2 linked regions of the Saccharomyces cerevisiae S288C genome follow. The gene in region 1 interacts genetically with each later gene. Each region holds a gene or a part of one and is shown in the gene's direction. Other genes may lie near its edges. The genes, in order: SWT21 and PRP40.

Region 1 (8,202 bases):
AATTGTTTCAAGTAATACAACGTCAATTATGACAGATGATGCATTTGATTACAATGAGGGCATTGCATCGCGTACCAAAAATATTAATTCTGATAGTGATAGAAGCAATGATACCATAAAACAAAACAACTACAATAAAAGGGAGACCGGATATAACCCTTTCTACAATGGATCAGGGATCAATCAGCGATATACACAGTTTCGAAAAAGAGAGTTTGAACCAACACTTGCAGAAAACAAAGCCGAAGAGTACATATCGGACGAAGATAATGTAAAAATTGATGAAGATAATATAGAGAACGAACTCCAGTTTACGCCGAAAATTAAAGAGGCTAGTATACTCCGATCTAGTTTACTAGGACAAAGAAATGTTTTAAATACTCGGAATCCAAAATCAAAAGAATCACACATTAAAGTAAAACCCATCATCAATAACAAGAGCTCCTCACAAAGAAAATCTAGTGCAGCACTTCGGAAACAATTAGGAAAACCCCTACCGCTGCCGTATTTGAATAGCCCTAATAGTGATAGTACACCCACATTACAGAGAAAAGAAGAAGTATTCACAGACGAAGTGCTTCAAAAAAAGAGAGAATTGATTGAGTCTAAATGGCATAGACTTCTCTTTCATGACAAAAAAATGGTGGAAAAAAAGCTAGAAAGTTTAAGAGAATACGAAAGGAAAAGAATGCCTCCACGAGGAACTGATGTTTCTAGCTCTGAGCAGGACAATTCTTTCAAAATATCGACGCCAACAAAATCGTATGTTTCTTTGGAGCAAAAACCCTTACCAAATCTCTCTGCTATGAATAACTTTAATGATGTTACCGACAATAAGGAGAAAGAAGAAACGAACAACAATATATTAAAGTTCCAAGCGCAACGAGATCCATTACAAATACTACAGTCTGAGATCGAAATGCATACTAAGAAACTTGACACGATAATAGAGTTACTAAAAGACGATACCGATTCAAAGGAAAAAAGGAAAGTAGTGACTAATGACAACGCAGCGCCTGAACAAATGGTCAACAAAGGATGGCGGAAAAACGTGATGATGATCTACAAAAAATCAGGAAATATTATGAAAAAGTATAGGGAATATTTCTTATGGACAATTTGTATTTTAATATTGTTATATTGCAATATATATGTGTATTATAGGTTTTAAACCATATAAAGGTTAGTACATGAAGAAGTGTGTACAGTTATGGCAATAACTGTTCTCTTCCGTTTTAAAGAGAGTATTATCACGGTCTGAAAATTAAGCAAAAAAAGAAAAGCGTGCACTTAAAAATCGGTGGTGGACAGACCGCATATTCCATAAACATAGATGGTACAAGGGCATTATGAGTCCTTGAATAGAAAAAATGATGAAAGAATGAATGCAATTCCGTATTGCGACACTGGCGAAGTGTTCGAGGCTGACACGATAGCGAATGTATGGAAAAGAGAAGATAAGGAATGGTTAAAAAGGACTCAAAGTGATCGAAGTGGATACGAGTATCCACGACTAGGAGAATCACCATATATCAATATGACAGACGACTTCAGAATGGAAAAGAAGGTAATATGTCAAGATATCTTTTGGTCATGTGATGGTACATCGTTTGTTTCTGTGCATAATGATTTTGGCATCAGACAATATTTAGTGCCGGAGGAAAGTAATACGGACAAGCTAAACAGAAACCTCCTTCTACCATTTACAAGGTTTTTTAGAAACCAGTCTATTGTTTCATGTGCAATAGACCCGTTTTACACGCTTTATAACGAGAATTCCGACAGGTTAGCTGGTGACAGAATCGTGGTTGGAGGAAAAAACTTCCCTCTACAACTATACTCTTTGATGGACGGGCAGTGTATCCTCAGCTATGACACGATGAACAAAATAAATGGAGAATACGAAACTGTATACAGTGTGAAAATCGATGTTGAGTCTCGTGTATACACTGGCTCATGCCGTAACAAAGTGGCGATATACGACAAGAGCAGACGAGATGCCGTGTGGATGAACCAGAGTACCAAAAAAGCAAGCAAGGGAAGACAAAGCATTATATCTTGCTTTGAAGAGCAACCAATGGGAGGGCAAGCTCTCTCAAGAGGATCTCTATTGTGTGGCAGTTATGCGAATGAAATGTTTCAGGTAGACTGCCGTCATCAACGACTAGAGAGACTGAACTACACCCGCACAGTTGCAGGTGGGATTGTACAAATCCTTACAAGCGATAACGGGCGTTACGTGTACGTTGTCAGACGCAACAGTGACGCGATTAGTATTTACGATCGGCGAAACCTGCAGCACGAGCTTAACGTATTGCGCCTACCGTTTCGGATCCACCACAACTCTGCAAAGTTGAAGGCATATATAGATACGGCTTACGGACTAAGTATGGGGACGCCGCAGGGAACAATATTGAACTGGGGTCGAGACCTTGTGGAATTTGGAGGTGTTCCCTCACACAATAGTGTTGAAGACCCACTAATCACGTCTATCCCGCCAGAGTCAGAGTGGCGCACTAACCTTGATTCTACTATTCCTGCCACGGTAGTGAAGAATTGTCCTGGGGATCCCGAACTGTTCGCCCTATCTCATGGGGGCACAATTTCATTATGCAGGTTCGGCGGCTAAAAACGGCAAACCCGTATTCGTGTATCACCCGGCCAGCTTTCTCCGATGAACGCGCACAAGTAAGAAGTTAAATTGCATCCCCCAGACACCACCTCTTTTGTTCACTTCTTGCCTCATGCCGTCAAAAAATTTTTTTCGCATCGAAAAAAATCCCCAAAAGAAAAGAAAAAAGTTCTTATTTTTATATAGTGCCACCATCGGGAAAAACTTCCCTGTAAAGCATTAACAGAGTCTTCCATCCCCGCTTCTGTCCTTTATTTGTTTCATAGAAGCTATTAAGCATCATATACTGCACACAGGAGCATGCATAGTGTCTGAAGCCTCTTTTGTTCTGTACTGCACATAATATTTCATAGAAAAACTAACGGAAAGAATCTACAACTCATAGTATCTGTAAATCCGTCCTATTGTCATATCACAATCACAGACTATGACCACTCAAGAATCGATCAAACCTTTGGTAGATAGAATCCTATCAAATCCCCTGCAGTTCAATGCTGCAATGATCTCTAACAAATCGAATAATAATGATACTTCCGCCGCGCCGGAAAATAGCTCGTATATTGTGATAGGAAAACAGCATAATAACAATAGTAATAGCACAGCTATTGCTGCAACGGCCGAATCCAAGCAAATAAAAGAAAATAACTTGATAGACAGGCCAAACGGAAAGAAAACCAACACTGTTCCTAAATCTATGGCTGAAGCTTTATTGTTGTATACTTCTAAAAATGATAAAGATGCTGCAGATGCTACTGGTGCCAAGAAGTCAGCGGAGCTTTCTACGGAGCTTTCTACGGAGCCTCCTTCCTCTTCTTCGGAAGATGACAAAGTAGGAAAAGAGGAAGAGGAAGAGGGTGAAATATTTCATGAGGCAAGAGACTATGTAGAACCCCGAAAAGCTAGTTTGAAGGAACGCGACAACGCAGATAAGGGCGATGGTGAAGACATCGGCGAAGACATCGGTGAAGACATCGGTGAAGACATCGGTGAAGACATTGGTGAAGACATTGGTGAAAACTTGGGTTCTCCATTAGCAACCATTGATGATTCATCTAATGAGAATGAAAAGGAAAAAAGAAAGGAACTGTCTACAAGCATTAGCAGTGATGACGAAATAGAAGACGACGAGGATGAGGATGACATGGATTATGATTCTAGTGCTATGGAAAAAGAGCTCCCTGAAGAAGAGGAGAACGATTCCAGCTCCAAAATTTCTGAAGGCGAAAAAAAGAGTTTATATCAAGATTTAATGGAAAATAGTACAGTGGAAGTAAATCGGTACGAACCAGTAAACAACACCAAAGAAAATGGAAACAGGAATCCAAAGGGAGAGGAGGAGGAAGAAGAGGAAGAAGAGCTGAAACATAAATCTAGGTCAATCACCCCTCCGGTTACAATATCAAATCTATCAAACTTTTACCAATTCAATGAAAATATCAATGATCGTGGTTCTTTAAACTCTACTAGAATTGTTAAAAATTGGGGCGACAAATTCACCAATTTGAAGCCTCGTGGCCTTTTGAATCATGGTGTTACTTGTTACACAAATGCTGCTGTACAGGCTATGTTACACATTCCTTCGATACAACATTATCTTTTTGATATACTAATGGGGAAATACGATAGCACCATCTCAAAAAATTCCGTTTCCTATACTTTAGCTGAAACAAGTAAAAAAATGTGGTTACCGGTCTCAAAAAACCCTAGAAAGAACGTTTCAGCTTCCTACATTAATCCAAAACATTTGATTTCCAGATTGGATGACATTAATTGTATGATGAGCGAATGGCAGCAGGAAGATTCACATGAGTACTTCATGTCTCTGATGTCAAGATTACAGGAAGATTCTGTTCCCAAGGGTCATAAACTTATAGAATCGATAATATATGACATATTCGGTGGTCTTTTAAAGCAGATCGTTACTTGCAAATCTTGTGGCAGTATATCTAAAACAGAACAACCATTTTACGATTTATCGTTGCACTTGAAAGGGAAGAAAAAACTTGATCCAAATTCTGACCTGTCGAGTGATAGCATTAACGGCACTTCAGCCACCACTTCTACCACTACCTCCAATGCTGCCACAAAACCATCTCTTTCATCCTCTTCATCTGTCAATTTAAACAATGGCTCACCATTTGCCGCTGCCAGTGATTTAAGTTCAGCCAACCGCAGATTTTCTATTGAAAAATCAATTAAAGATTTCTTCAATCCCGAATTAATCAAGGTTGACAAGGAGCAAAAGGGTTACGTTTGTGAGAAGTGTCACAAGACCACGAACGCCGTGAAGCATAGTTCAATATTAAGGGCTCCTGAAACTTTACTTGTGCATCTGAAAAAATTCAGATTCAATGGCACGTCCTCATCAAAAATGAAGCAAGCTGTTTCTTATCCTATGTTTTTAGATTTGACGGAATATTGTGAGAGTAAAGAGCTACCTGTCAAATACCAACTATTAAGCGTGGTGGTTCATGAGGGCCGCTCCCTTTCTTCAGGTCACTACATTGCCCACTGCAAGCAACCAGACGGTAGCTGGGCCACTTACGACGACGAGTATATTAATATAATATCTGAAAGGGACGTTTTAAAGGAACCCAACGCATATTATCTCCTATACACGAGGCTAACTCCAAAATCGGTTCCATTGCCATTGGCGAAATCTGCCATGGCCACTGGTAATGTTACCTCTAAATCCAAACAGGAACAGGCTGTTAACGAACCAAATAACCGCCCATTGAAGATTAATAGCAAGAAAAATAACAGAAAAAAATGGAAAAAAAATAAAAAAAGGAAGTTCACCAAATGAAAAAACTCGATATTCCTGGATTTTCCTCTTTTCATAGGCATTTTTATTAGCATTTCATTTTTATTATACCAAATCAATATATACATATAAATATCCGGTCTTTATTGACTTATAAAACAACTCTCAGTATACAGAGTTGGAGAAGCGTTTACTCAGAATAGCTTCAGTACTACCGAGCTTTGCTAACATAACGGGAGAAAGAGAATTTAAAACTTATATACATATTTACAGAATAGATCAGTAGAAAGAAGAAGGAAGGTCTGTTGAAAATTTCTCGAAATTGACGGTACTTTTTTGTCTTTTCACTACTTACAGATCAAGGTACAACCTTAATACCCATACTTTTTGCAACGCCAACTATTGATTTAACAATACCTTCCATCTCCAATAAACTATGCCTTTCATCACTCTTTTTTATCTTGGCTATTTCGTAAACGTGCTTCAGCGATAACTCTCCTAAAGCACGGGTTGGTCCCTTGGCAGGTGCACTGCCTAACATTGTCCCCACATTCGGTTGTCCATGTCCCTTGTCCATTTTAAGAGCTTTTAGCAGCAAATATCCGGTTGGTGGAGATTTCATTTCAAACGTAAATGTTCTATCAGGTTTTATTGTGATTAATACTGGAACCGGTACACCTGGCTGATAGTTTGCTGATCTTGCATTAAATTCCTTACAAAAGTCAATGGCTTTTATACCCTTGGAGCCCAATGCGGGCCCCACGGGAGGTGATGGTGCCGCTTGGCCTGCTCCTACTATTAGCTTTACTATCACGTTTTTTGCTGCCTGTGACATTATGGAGACTAATAGTTCCTCTATGGTATTCGAGAGTTCGAAAGTACAACAAACAGAAATAAATACAGAAGGTTACGCTGTCGATTTGAATGTTCACGCTTTTTTTCCTTCTTATGAGTTGTAGATTTACTGCACTTTCTAAAGCTTCTTTGCTGTGAAATTTTAGAAAAGGGAATTGTCGCCTTGGTAAGACAATTAATGTTACCCGCTTCATTATTATTAATTAGTGGCGCGATATTTTAACGAACTTTTCCATTAATTATTATCATACTAAGCTTTTACATTTTTCTGATAAAATAGTAGATTATGAACAGGAGGTCAATCTATTTAGGCTTCTATAGAACGGTAAAATATGAAATTAGTTTAACAGAAGTAAATATGACATTGTATTTTAACATATACTCAAATAGGATAAAAAAAGGTTATATACAAATGCTTGGAAAAGAAATAAAAGTGGGGACGCTTATTTATTGATTATTTTGCTTTTTCTTTTTCTTTTCTAGGCCTGCAATATGTGCTTCACTTTGATCCACTTGTGTGTGATGATGGTCTTCTCCTCTAACCACTTTGAACGATAATCCATCTTCAACCAAGTGGCACATATCAATGCTACGGATCCAAGGATCTTCCATGATTTCTTCGATATTTCCTCTGCATGCGGGCGCCAAATCAATCATACGTCCAACAATATGCTGAGTCTCTTCTGGTAATGAGTGCAACAATCTTTGTGGCCCGATATTAACATTATTAGGATCTGATACATTATTGGAAGAGCTTTCGGGTTTTTTCTTTTCTGTTGAGTGCGATTCATCGTAGGAAGGTGGATCAGGAGTTCTTGTAACCAAGCTACTTAAGGAGTCGCAATCACGTCCGGAACAAAATAGTTTGAATGAATTGTCCCTTAATTTCGGAATTTTCCATGGAAATTTCTTCAGTATCATACATGCAAAAATGATTGCAGAAGACCAAATATCTACGGGACGTGGGTCATACTTCGCAAATATACAGACTTCAGGTGCTAAATATGGATCACTTCCAACAATTCCACTTGCTTCCACAAGATTTTTTGAGAATGGATATGAAAATACCACAGCAGCACCAAAATCGATTAATTTTACAATACCTTTTTCGTTTATAACACAATTATCTAGCTTTAGATCTCTATGAGCTAAGCCGATACTATGCAAATATTGTACACCAGTAAGTATTTGTTTGAAGCAACAACAAATCTCTTCATAGGACATTTTATTACTCATTACAATAGCAAATAAATCGTATTCACAATATTCCATAACTTGGAGAATTCTATCATTTTCATACACGATTTCAATTGTTTCAATGATATTGGGATGATTCAAAGTTGTACCAATACAGTATTCTGATGTAATTTTCTTGACATAATCTCTTTTGGATTCATTTTCAAATTTAGTTCTAAACTCCTTCACTGCAAATATTTTGTTATCTGAAATTCTTTGAGCTAATTTGACAGAACCTCCTGCTCCAGCGCCTAAATCGGCACCGGTTTTGATGTACCTTTTTGAGAACGGAATTCCTGAACCGCCGTGACTATGAGAATAAATAGTATCTCCATTTCCGTTATAACTAGTGGAATATGAGTTATTCCCTGCGGCAAAATGAGACGATGAATGAGAGTGTGACGGAACGGCAATTCCGCTAGAAAGAGGTGATCCGTTCGGGATCACGTTGTTACTATTCGAGGAAAGGTTACTGTTAGAACTTTTTTTGAAGAACCTCTTTAAATCACCGATGGAAGAATGTTGTGACCTTGGAACACTTTGACTTGGAGGTAAGTGGTCATGTACAGATGAGGGGGAACCGTAAAAGTTATCAGTATAGGAACCAGTTGGCTGTCTTGATGCAGAATATATGCTGCTTTGTCTTGCGCGGATAGGCTTCGGGATAGGCGTCGAACCATTGGTAACATTGGGATTCTTAATGTTTGGAGAAGGA
Region 2 (10,693 bases), on another chromosome or scaffold:
GAACAAAGCAGCCGTTGTTACAATACTTAGTAAAGGTGAATCCTTGATCCTCCAGATACTTGGTATGAAAGATGGGAAAGAAAAATGTTCCCATCTGTAAAAAGCTTTCAGTACTAGATAATTCAAATCACTAGACACAAAACTATTTATCAGAGAAGTAGTTTCTGAAAGGGATAGCTTACCCATAGGATCAGATGAAGCATCAACACAAACTTTGTTTTCTTCAAAAAATTTAGCCAAAGAGATGTTTACTTCCTTAATTGAAGCAGGATCTTCATTTGCAGCTTTGTTCAGTATATTCTTTACAAGGGATATTTTTATAGTTTTTCCTTCGTTGAATAATTTTTGGAGAATGTTTCTTGTGGACTCTAGTTTGGTGCTACACATGAGTAGCGAAGTTAAAGCTGAAGTACTTAAATACTCACTAACACTTGTTAAGAAAGCATTTACATCTTCTTTCTGATACAACTCATTATAGTTGGCATACTCTTCGACATTTTCACCACTAAACACGACTTTTTGAATTATTTCTCGGAATTCCACTAATTGATGGCCTGTTTCAAAGCATACTGCACCGATTAAATTGCACATGAACCTTGATTTTTTCATGAGTAGAGCATTTCTTTTTTCAATGGCCAGTTTTGGTAAAGCGAAATTTATATACCTTTCCAAAACTTTGATAATTGGGAATTCTGTGTCTGTTACCATGTAGCTAGCAATCTTGCCAGTTAACTCACAGGCAGTTGCTTCGAACCAATTGTCATATACAACAGAATCGTCTTCTACCAATAACTGAACTCTAAAAAGGATTCCTGCCGCATCTAATTTGTTCACTGGTAATCTAGAAATATTCATTAGATTTTTAGATGGAAGCGCCGAAATATACTGGAAAAAAGATGAGCTCTTCATTGAAGAAATTAAAGAATTAGAGCTATTAGTTTTCTTTATGTTTTCTTCAAATGAGTCAAGTTTCAAGTATATATTAACATCATGATCAGAGACCTCAGGAAAGACATTTTTAACAAGTTTATCTATGCCTATATGGTCTTCACCAATGAAAATCATGTTTCTAAGAAAAAGTATAAGCCATTTAATTAAAAACTCTGGGTTTCCACTCTTGTCAACGTATTTCCATTGCTCTGAAAGGCACATTATGAAGGGAGAAATGTAGTTATACTCTTTTGCCATATCGACGTACTTGTATGGTGTTTTTACGACACGAGATATAGTTTCGTCAAACCACTTCCAGACTTGTTCCATGTTGTCAATTTCAGAAACTTGAAGGGAAAGCCCTTGAAGACTATTCACTAAAGCCATCACTGGTGAAATTAAAGATATGTTGAAGATAACGTTTGTTCTCGTCAGCTCATCGAGCAAGTTGGATATTCTTGTAGTTATCACGTTAGAAGCATTTTTGGAGGATGCTAGCTTTAATAGTAGGGTGAATAAAGAATTTCCACCAGAACTTGGATTCCACCACCTGGTTTGAGTAGAGTTAAATTCTTGAAATTGTAAGTAGTTGTCCAGAATAGCAAATTCTATGCCAGAAATCTTGGATTTTTGCATGATATCTGTGTAAATATTTGATGATGGTAGGTTAATTGAGAAGAGGTTGGGGAACATTTTACTATAGTAGTTGAATATGATGGATATGGACAGAGGTAAAATTCTATTATCCTTATTGGAAGCCAAAGAATTGCTCAAAGTAGATACGAAGATTGGTAAATCAGGAATTCTAGTATGAAACTCGTTGAGTAAAATAGTTTTTTCATTTCTCCAGCCTTTTTGATCATAAAATGTGGAAACTTTTTCTAATTTTTTTAACGCTAGAACTATTGATTGACAGGCTAATTGTCTTATGATGGGTGTTTCAAATTGTAGGGATTTAACCAACGAGGATTTGGTGAGCAAAGATGGCAGAATGTTTTCTATAACTAATGAAGTGGCAGGTGGAATATTGCTATCAACTTTCTCCATAAATTGCGGTATCTTAAGATTAATAATCTTGTTAATCAGTAACGTTATACCAAACCAATACGAAGTCATCTTAGGGTCATAGTTACCATTCGTCGTTAAAAAGATGCTGTAAGGAGCAACAAGTTCGGGAACGTTCTCCAATATTTTGATCAACGTACCTAATTGCAGCGTATCTTCCCAAGGTTTGAAAAGGCGTAAAGTGTTGAACAAAAGTTTATTATGAATTTGAAATTCCACTTGGTTGACGGTTATCGGAGCTCCATGAGAAGCTCCATCAGCAACTGAATTTTTGAACCAAACGCAATTATCAGGAAATGCTACGCTAAAGTCACGGGAAGCTCCAAAAGTTAAGAAAAACTCATTTGCCTTCTTAACCAAATTCTTGTTTGATGAATAATAAAAGTGATGAATCTTTGAAGCCGCTAGTTCATTTAAAATTTTGGTTTTAGTAGTTCTCTTGAAGGATTTCTCCTTTAAAATGTCGTTTATGAATACCGATAGTATGTGCTCAGATAACTTGTCAGAATCAGCCTTATTCATGAATTTAAATAGGTTGCTCATAATCTTAAAGTTTTCTGTCAAAAGTTCTTTTCTCACGAATGGGGAAGCATTTGAGATCAATGTCAACCAAAACTTGATAAATGTAAATCTTAATGAGTCATGTTTGGATGAATCAGCAGATGAATTCCCATTGGCTAACTCAGACTTGCTTGGTACCAACAGTCTTGGTAAAATAGGTAATGAAAAATCGAAATATGAAACTAATTCCTCTATATGTTGCCCATTGTTGAAATTGACTATTTGTTTGAGTAGACGAAGAATTGGATTAGTTAATTGCGCACGCATATTGTTCAACCCTCTATAGAGAACTTTTGTGTAATCGGTCAATATCAATCTAATTAGACCGCTCCCAATAGTCACTGTACTAGTATCAGATGACAAAACTCGTAAGGTTTTAGTCAGTAATGAGGTAGTTTTCGAGAATTTCCCATGGTTATTTACTTGAGCATAATATGACCAAGTCTGTACCAATTGAGCACCAAATCCTCTTTGGAAGAACACTATTAGAGGTTGGTAATCTTTGGAGAGAGTTTCATCTTCGACTGCACTGATTATACTTTCTAGTGTTTCTAATGTACCGTCTTCGAACTCTTTCCCTTGGGTGTACTTCTCCCTTCTCTGGTCGCGAGATCCATAGGCTTCGCTATGATTACTCATTATGTAAGTGCTCCTCTAGTTCTGTTAGATGAAGTAGTACCGCATAGATTAGAGAAATAATATCCAATCAAGAATATAACCGAACTATTCTTTGCGATGAGCTTTATTGCTGAAATTTTTCATATTTCGTCTACAGTGATATAATATTGAAATCCTCATGCAAGTCGTGCATAGGTAAAAGCTGTTTACTATATGTTGGTGCACTATTATCATATAATTTTAGTTTGGTCGTATACTAGTGCGGCAGTAATAATAAATGCTTTAGAATCTTCAATCTTCATTTGTTTACGTAAAATGAAAACGTTTTGTGTTAGAATTGACAGATTGAAGTTTAATTTTAGGTGTCGGGAGAAACATTTTAATCCCTTTTTATGAATATAATTTAAGTACTAAAAAAATCACCATAATTATACAAAGTAACTGCAATTTAAAAGTACGTTTATAATTAATTCACATACACATGTTATTGTATCTAACTAAATAGTCTCGAAATAGTTCAATTGAGTACGCAAACTAACACAGTCAGTACAGATCGTAAAGTTTTCCGTCAATAGGGCCCTGACGGAGAAAGATTCCCTTTCCTATATTAGGAATCTAATAGACAAATTCATCAAGATATGCTTCCGCAACAAATCTTGCTCTGGCATTCAAAAACAGTTTAATTTCACTGATTTCCTTATCCACGTCCTCCATGAATTCAATAATAAAATCAACCAATTTCCCAGTTTTCATTGATTCAGTATGCTTATTAGTTATTAGAAAAGAAATACTGTAGCCAGGTATTGGTACACGTCTCAGAATGTAGAATGCTTCAGCACGCTGTTCCAAAAATCTAGTAAACTTGTGAACTAAAATCTGCTCAATTTCATCTGCCTGTTTCACCATTAAACTCATACGCACCGAGTTTACACTGGGCTCAATCAATACTTGTTCATTTTCATTACGAGATATATGCATCGGTTGGAGCAACAATTCGGCGCTAGTGTTAGGGACTTCAACTTCCGGTCTGTTGTGCCTCTCCACTTCCTGCGAAGAGAAATTGCTCAAAGTCAACGCAGCTTCCAGGGAATAACGAACAGCCGTTAGATACGGACGTAATGATTGTGACATTTCCTACTATCAGTTGCTTCCTCTTTTATCTTTTGTCAAAGTGACACCGAGTTGTTCCGAAAGCCTCTATTTGCTTGGCTTTACAGGCTTTTTTTGTTCTATAATTGTATTTTGCTATACAAAAGGGGCGACGTGGTAAACGATATGAAATTATCGACAATAATAATGTACTTGGAAATCTGGCAGTTGATGACATCGCAATAGCGTGCCTACCTATCAGGATAACAAGGTCTGAAGCCAGATCGACCACTAGACAAGCATTGCCGGAGGTGGGAGACGTGAAACTATGTCTATTTGGAAGGAAGCTAAAGATGCAAGTGGAAGGATATATTATTACAATACTTTGACAAAGAAATCTACGTGGGAGAAGCCCAAGGAACTAATTTCTCAGGAGGAGCTACTTCTTCGAGAAAATGGCTGGAAGGCGGCCAAGACGGCAGACGGCAAAGTATACTATTATAATCCAACAACAAGAGAAACCAGCTGGACTATTCCGGCCTTCGAGAAGAAAGTAGAACCCATCGCAGAACAAAAACATGATACAGTATCCCATGCACAGGTTAATGGAAATAGAATAGCCCTTACGGCTGGAGAAAAACAAGAGCCGGGACGAACTATAAACGAGGAGGAAAGCCAATATGCTAATAACTCTAAACTGCTTAATGTCAGGAGAAGGACTAAAGAAGAAGCAGAGAAGGAATTTATTACCATGCTGAAGGAAAATCAAGTAGACTCTACTTGGTCATTCAGTAGAATTATTTCAGAACTGGGGACCAGAGATCCAAGGTATTGGATGGTCGATGATGACCCCTTATGGAAGAAAGAAATGTTTGAGAAATATCTTTCCAATAGATCAGCCGATCAACTTCTTAAGGAACACAATGAAACAAGCAAATTCAAAGAAGCCTTTCAGAAAATGTTGCAAAACAATTCTCATATAAAATATTACACCCGTTGGCCTACCGCAAAGAGACTAATTGCCGACGAACCAATATACAAACACTCCGTGGTCAATGAAAAGACAAAGAGACAGACCTTTCAAGATTATATAGATACCCTCATCGACACTCAGAAAGAATCAAAAAAAAAATTGAAAACACAGGCCCTAAAAGAACTAAGAGAGTATTTAAACGGTATTATAACAACATCATCCTCTGAAACTTTCATAACCTGGCAGCAGCTTTTAAATCACTATGTTTTTGATAAGAGTAAGAGATATATGGCGAACCGGCACTTCAAAGTCTTAACCCACGAAGATGTTTTAAACGAGTATCTGAAAATAGTAAATACGATTGAAAACGATCTTCAAAACAAACTAAATGAGCTCCGACTGCGCAATTATACCAGAGACCGTATTGCTAGAGATAACTTTAAAAGCTTATTAAGAGAAGTGCCAATCAAAATCAAAGCAAATACTAGATGGTCAGATATTTATCCTCATATAAAGTCTGATCCGCGCTTTTTACATATGCTTGGAAGGAATGGCTCGTCCTGCCTTGATTTATTTTTAGATTTTGTTGATGAACAAAGGATGTACATCTTTGCACAAAGATCAATAGCCCAACAGACGTTGATAGATCAAAATTTTGAATGGAATGATGCCGATAGCGACGAGATCACCAAGCAAAACATAGAAAAAGTTCTGGAAAATGACCGGAAATTTGACAAGGTGGATAAAGAAGACATCAGTTTGATTGTTGATGGTTTGATAAAGCAAAGAAACGAAAAGATACAACAGAAACTCCAAAATGAGCGTAGGATATTGGAGCAAAAGAAGCACTATTTTTGGTTACTTTTGCAAAGGACATATACAAAAACCGGTAAGCCCAAGCCTAGTACGTGGGATTTAGCTTCCAAAGAGCTTGGCGAATCTCTTGAATACAAGGCACTAGGCGATGAAGATAACATAAGAAGACAAATTTTCGAGGATTTTAAGCCTGAAAGCTCTGCACCGACTGCCGAAAGCGCTACTGCAAACTTAACGTTGACCGCGTCAAAAAAGAGGCATTTAACTCCGGCTGTGGAATTGGACTATTGATTCTGACGTGTCGACCTCTATCTTGTTAATCATTATATAAATTATACATAGAGATTACATGTTATTTCAAGTTTGCGATCACCGCACAATTTCTTAGTCATTGTTGTAAGTGTTCTGCAAAAATTTCAGCTTTTGTACCTTATTTTCACAAAATTCAAACACCTGTCCGAACTGTGTTTTAACCAGTGTTTTTGAATTCAAGAGTTCAGTAATACTTTCATAATTTTTTAACCACTCCATCCAAGACAAACAATGGAGGAATGAATCTGCCAAATCGTCATCTTTTCTCACCCCCGAATTATCTTGGATCTCTAGTATATCACATAGCTTGAAACTTTTTTTTTTGGTAAGGGCATTTCTTATCCTATTATTCCAAACTCCTATGAACTCGACCAGTTTTGTAGAACTAGTTGAATTACCTTCTAGTATTGAGGTTGAAAGTATTTTTTTCACTAGCTTTATTCGAGAATCTTTGCTATGTTTGTTAGATTTTAACTTTTTTGAACTGGTCGGTGTCTCTTCTCTTGGAATGCACCAATATGAAGTCATCCGATGTGGATCGGACGAACATACCATATACCTCAACTTGGACGTATTCGGTATTTTATTCGTATACTTCATTTTATTTTCCAAGTTAGAGAAAAGAATCTGTTCGAGAATATTCACTTTTAAAATTGGGTCTAAAATATGCCTCGAAGACATAGTTCTGGTACGTTGCCTTTCAATTGTAAACATATCTGGTATCGGCATAGATTCAAATAAATACTCCGTAAGGTTAAATACAAGCTCAGAAGTTTCAGCAGGATTCAAGCTTAACTTTTTGAGGTTTTGAAAAAATTTCTCCTCTAGATTTATCTTTTGCCAGTCTAGTACTTTAGGGAGCGGATCATTATTGAGCAATTGCATCTTAGAGAAAGCAAAGTTAGAAACACCAGCATCCATAGACAATATGTTAATTCTTCCCTCTCTTATCTTTTGTTGTCGTAACTTCTCCAAAAATTCACACTGTTCTTGAATGTAGGTTCTTTTAGCTTCTTTCGTCGTGCCATTTACTGCTCCAATAACAAATGATAAAGATTTCAGTTGTGTGCTTTTTGCATTTTGGCAGCAGGAATCGATGAGTTGCAATATCTTAGCTTTCTGTGCTGTCGACATATTACTATCTTTTTTAGCTTTAGACTGTATAACCGTAAGCCTTCGTTGTATGCAATGGATAAACAAATATGGAATCGCCAGTTGAAACAAAAAAATGAGAAAAGTACGGATAATCCGAAGAAATTTAGTCTGATTCCATCCATTTTTTGTATCTTAAGAAATAATTTTGAAGTCATATAAAACTTAAATAGAAAAAGTAACTAAAATTTAGGAAAGTAGAAAAGCTCCTGCACCCTCTTCAATGGCTTGACAAAGACGAGACCGCATAATATCTTTGCTAGTATACTTCGGCAATTTCAAATAATTAGCACATGTCATTACACTTGGTAGATATTCGTCTGCTGTTAGGCCATCTTCAGCATGCTTTAACACAACTGTAAACTTTGGGTTCAAACTTTTAAATCCCCCAATTGGAAGCTTGGGAGATCCCGTTAAAAATTGCAAAAATAATCTTCTTTCATGCTTACCAAACGCGGATATTATTGATATAAAATCATGAATGATTGAAGAATCCATTGTATAGCCATGTTCAGCGTTCAAGTTTGTGTATAAAGTTGCCATAGACCAGTCTTCCTCAACTCGTCCGAAAATATCCACTAATTCATCCGGAAAAAGTATTAGCATCCTCTCATAGGAAAACACCTTTGAAAAACCTTCAATAAATGCTTTTAACTGTTTTTCAATGCCCTTACCTAATATTTGGTCGATAACGCCATGGATATATTCTTCAACATTAGAAGAGTTCAAGGATTTATTACAACCCCCCGGAATCAACTCAATGTCATCATTTCCAGGAACGGTAAATGTCAAGGACAACGATTCTAGGGTCATATTGTCATCCTTATTCGCTACTATGTATTTAAGGGATTTTGCGAGTAACGGATCTACCAATTCGATCATTAACAGACAGGTTTCAACGTCGCTCGGCACTGTCGTCACATTGGGCGTAGACATTCTGTGCAATAACTCAAAAAAGACTTTGCTAAATCTAAAGTCAAGAATTCTATTATCAAGCAACGATCTGGCAACAAATGTCCCCAAATATCCAAAAAGTTCAATAACTTTTTCATTATTGGAAAACGGGTTGAGGGGCTCTGGGAACAATAAAGTGGTAATATAATCGTCAGTAGTATCAACATCCATTTCGCTTCTGTAACTATAAGAGTTACAACGCCACATATTTAACGACTTTCTTGCAAAATACTTGGAAACTACGGAGTAAAATTCCAAAGTCGGTCCTAAACCTGTTCCTGCTTCTTCTTGATATTCAATTTCCAGTACGTCAGGGCTACTTCCGTACTTGGATAAAATCTTGAGACCGGTAGCGAATATTGTTTTTCTTGAAATCCGCAGCTTACGCCTAGTAATTCTCCCAAGTTGTTGTAAAGCTTCGTCATTCCTTAAATCTTTCGAGCCTTTACTCTTATTCTTCCAAAGTTGAATCAATCTTCCGTAACCAAATGAAGTACATTGTAGGAAAAGCATCCTGGTATCAAACGGAAACAAAAATGGGAATCTCCTGGTCAAAAATAGTGACCAATCCGGCAAAGCTCCACTTGCTACTACCAATGGTTCATCTAGTTGTCTAGCGAGCTTAGCGCTTAGTTTTGAGTTGATAAAACTGTCGCTTTTAACACCGCAGCTATGTAGAAAATCCAGCAATGTCAGAATATCCGCTGAAGATCCAGTATCAACCTGTGCGAATTCTCTTTTTTTATAAAAATCTCTTAACTTTTTCCCCTCATTAGCTTCCTCGGCTGCCTCACTCTCTCTATTGTTACCTTCTAAACTTTTGCAAAATTTGATTGTATGTGTATCATCCCATAAAGTTTTTAAGTCACGATTTCGCCTGACGAATGTATTAAATATCACACCAAATACTGTAGACTCCATGTCAACTTTTTCATTATCATAAAAAAAGTCAAAGTTCTTTTTTCTCATATGATCCAAGCAATTTTCTTCTTCTTCCCTATCAGCTTCGGTACTGGAAGATGTAAGGTTTGGGATTAATGAATTCAAAAAACGCATTCTTACCATTCTGTGTCTCAAAAACTCATTAAGTGAGGTAAAAGAAGCTATGCAATGGACCGAAACGATAGTAGATGATAAATCAGTACCAATATTATCTTTGCTTGCATCGCCATCATAAACCAACTTAATTTTTATCTCTTTAGCCAGTGAAGATACACCACCACCATCGTGTAAACCGCAATCAACTATAGAGAAATTCTCCAGCCTTGTGAGAGCAGATTGTAGGATTTCTAAAAATCTGTCAATACAATCCTCAAATACCTCTAAAAATGATTTAGCAAGAATGAAATGGGATACCGTTGAGGATGTAATTCTTTTAGTTATGGAGGAAGCTAGCCCTGTAGAAGTAAATTCGAAACCTGACACGTCGAAATCTTCATGGAAAATACATTTTTTTAAAACAGACCAAATTCCCTTCCAATCCTCTTCAGTTTTGTCCGGAGTGGAAGGATTTTCTAAAATAGAAACAACGCCTTCGATTTGATGGAGCTCCTCTGTTATTGCTTCTTGCTCAACGTTCATCTGAGAAAGTACTCTATTAACTAGGTTCACACCCTTGTTTTTAATATAAGCTAGAGATAGAGTTCTGAAAATGTGTATTGAAATTTTCTTTGGTTTTACTGAATCAGGAATTTCCATATCAGTAAATTCGTAATCATATTCTTCATCACCCTCATCACATTCCTCAATACTGCTATGCAAATCCCCTTCTTCGTCAGAAAGTGAAATATTTTCATTCCCGTCTTCCTTTAAATCAATGTTATTGAAATCCACAGACAAATCCTTAACCAAATCAAAAATGCCCTCTCTTTTGATGGAAGGAAAGAACAGTTCGGAAAACTTTTTACAAATTAAGTCAAGCAACGAGAGACCACCAACCAACAGTGTACCAGCTTCTGATGAGTAAGTACCATTAGCGTTAGACGCTGTTTCTTTTTGGGCCAGGATAGATCCGATTAACTTAATAAGTTGATCATTGATTGCCTTTGCTGTGGAATTATTTATGCATGATACAACCCTCAGTAAAGCAATAAGTACGTATCTTCTTACGTCAAAGTCAGCAGCATTTGTATAAATTTCAACGAGAATTGGAATTAGACATTGAACTAGGGAATCAAACTTTTCCTGGTTAGAAATTACGCCACGGTCGCTATTTCCGGTATA

The links.
Region 2: mutations in SWT21 (region 1) and PRP40 impair growth when combined (synthetic growth defect), as found in Saccharomyces cerevisiae (one study listed by BioGRID).

Annotation. Positions count from the first base shown.
Region 1 is NC_001146.8:286,439-294,640, forward strand, and holds SWT21 (Swt21p), read left to right. Parts: upstream 1-1,555; coding exon 1,556-2,629; downstream 2,630-8,202. Other genes in the region: KAR1 (Kar1p), read left to right, coding at 1-1,171; ubiquitin-specific protease UBP10, read left to right, coding at 3,060-5,438; mitochondrial 54S ribosomal protein uL11m MRPL19, read right to left, coding at 5,755-6,231; YNL184C (uncharacterized protein), read right to left, coding at 6,119-6,445; serine/threonine protein kinase NPR1, read right to left, coding at 6,699-8,202. UniProt on the Saccharomyces cerevisiae protein: Involved in mRNA splicing. Helps to stabilize the U1 snRNP-5' splice site interaction.
Region 2 is NC_001143.9:413,719-424,411, forward strand, and holds PRP40 (snoRNA-splicing protein PRP40), read left to right. Parts: upstream 1-4,591; coding exon 4,592-6,343; downstream 6,344-10,693. Other genes in the region: URB1 (Urb1p), read right to left, coding at 1-3,195; ARC19 (Arc19p), read right to left, coding at 3,790-4,305; CCE1 (cruciform cutting endonuclease), read right to left, coding at 6,437-7,498; putative ubiquitin-protein ligase UFD4, read right to left, coding at 7,706-10,693. UniProt on the Saccharomyces cerevisiae protein: Required for pre-spliceosome formation, which is the first step of pre-mRNA splicing. This protein is associated with snRNP U1. Two commitment complexes, CC1 and CC2, have been defined in yeast. CC1 is a basal complex dependent only on the 5' splice site.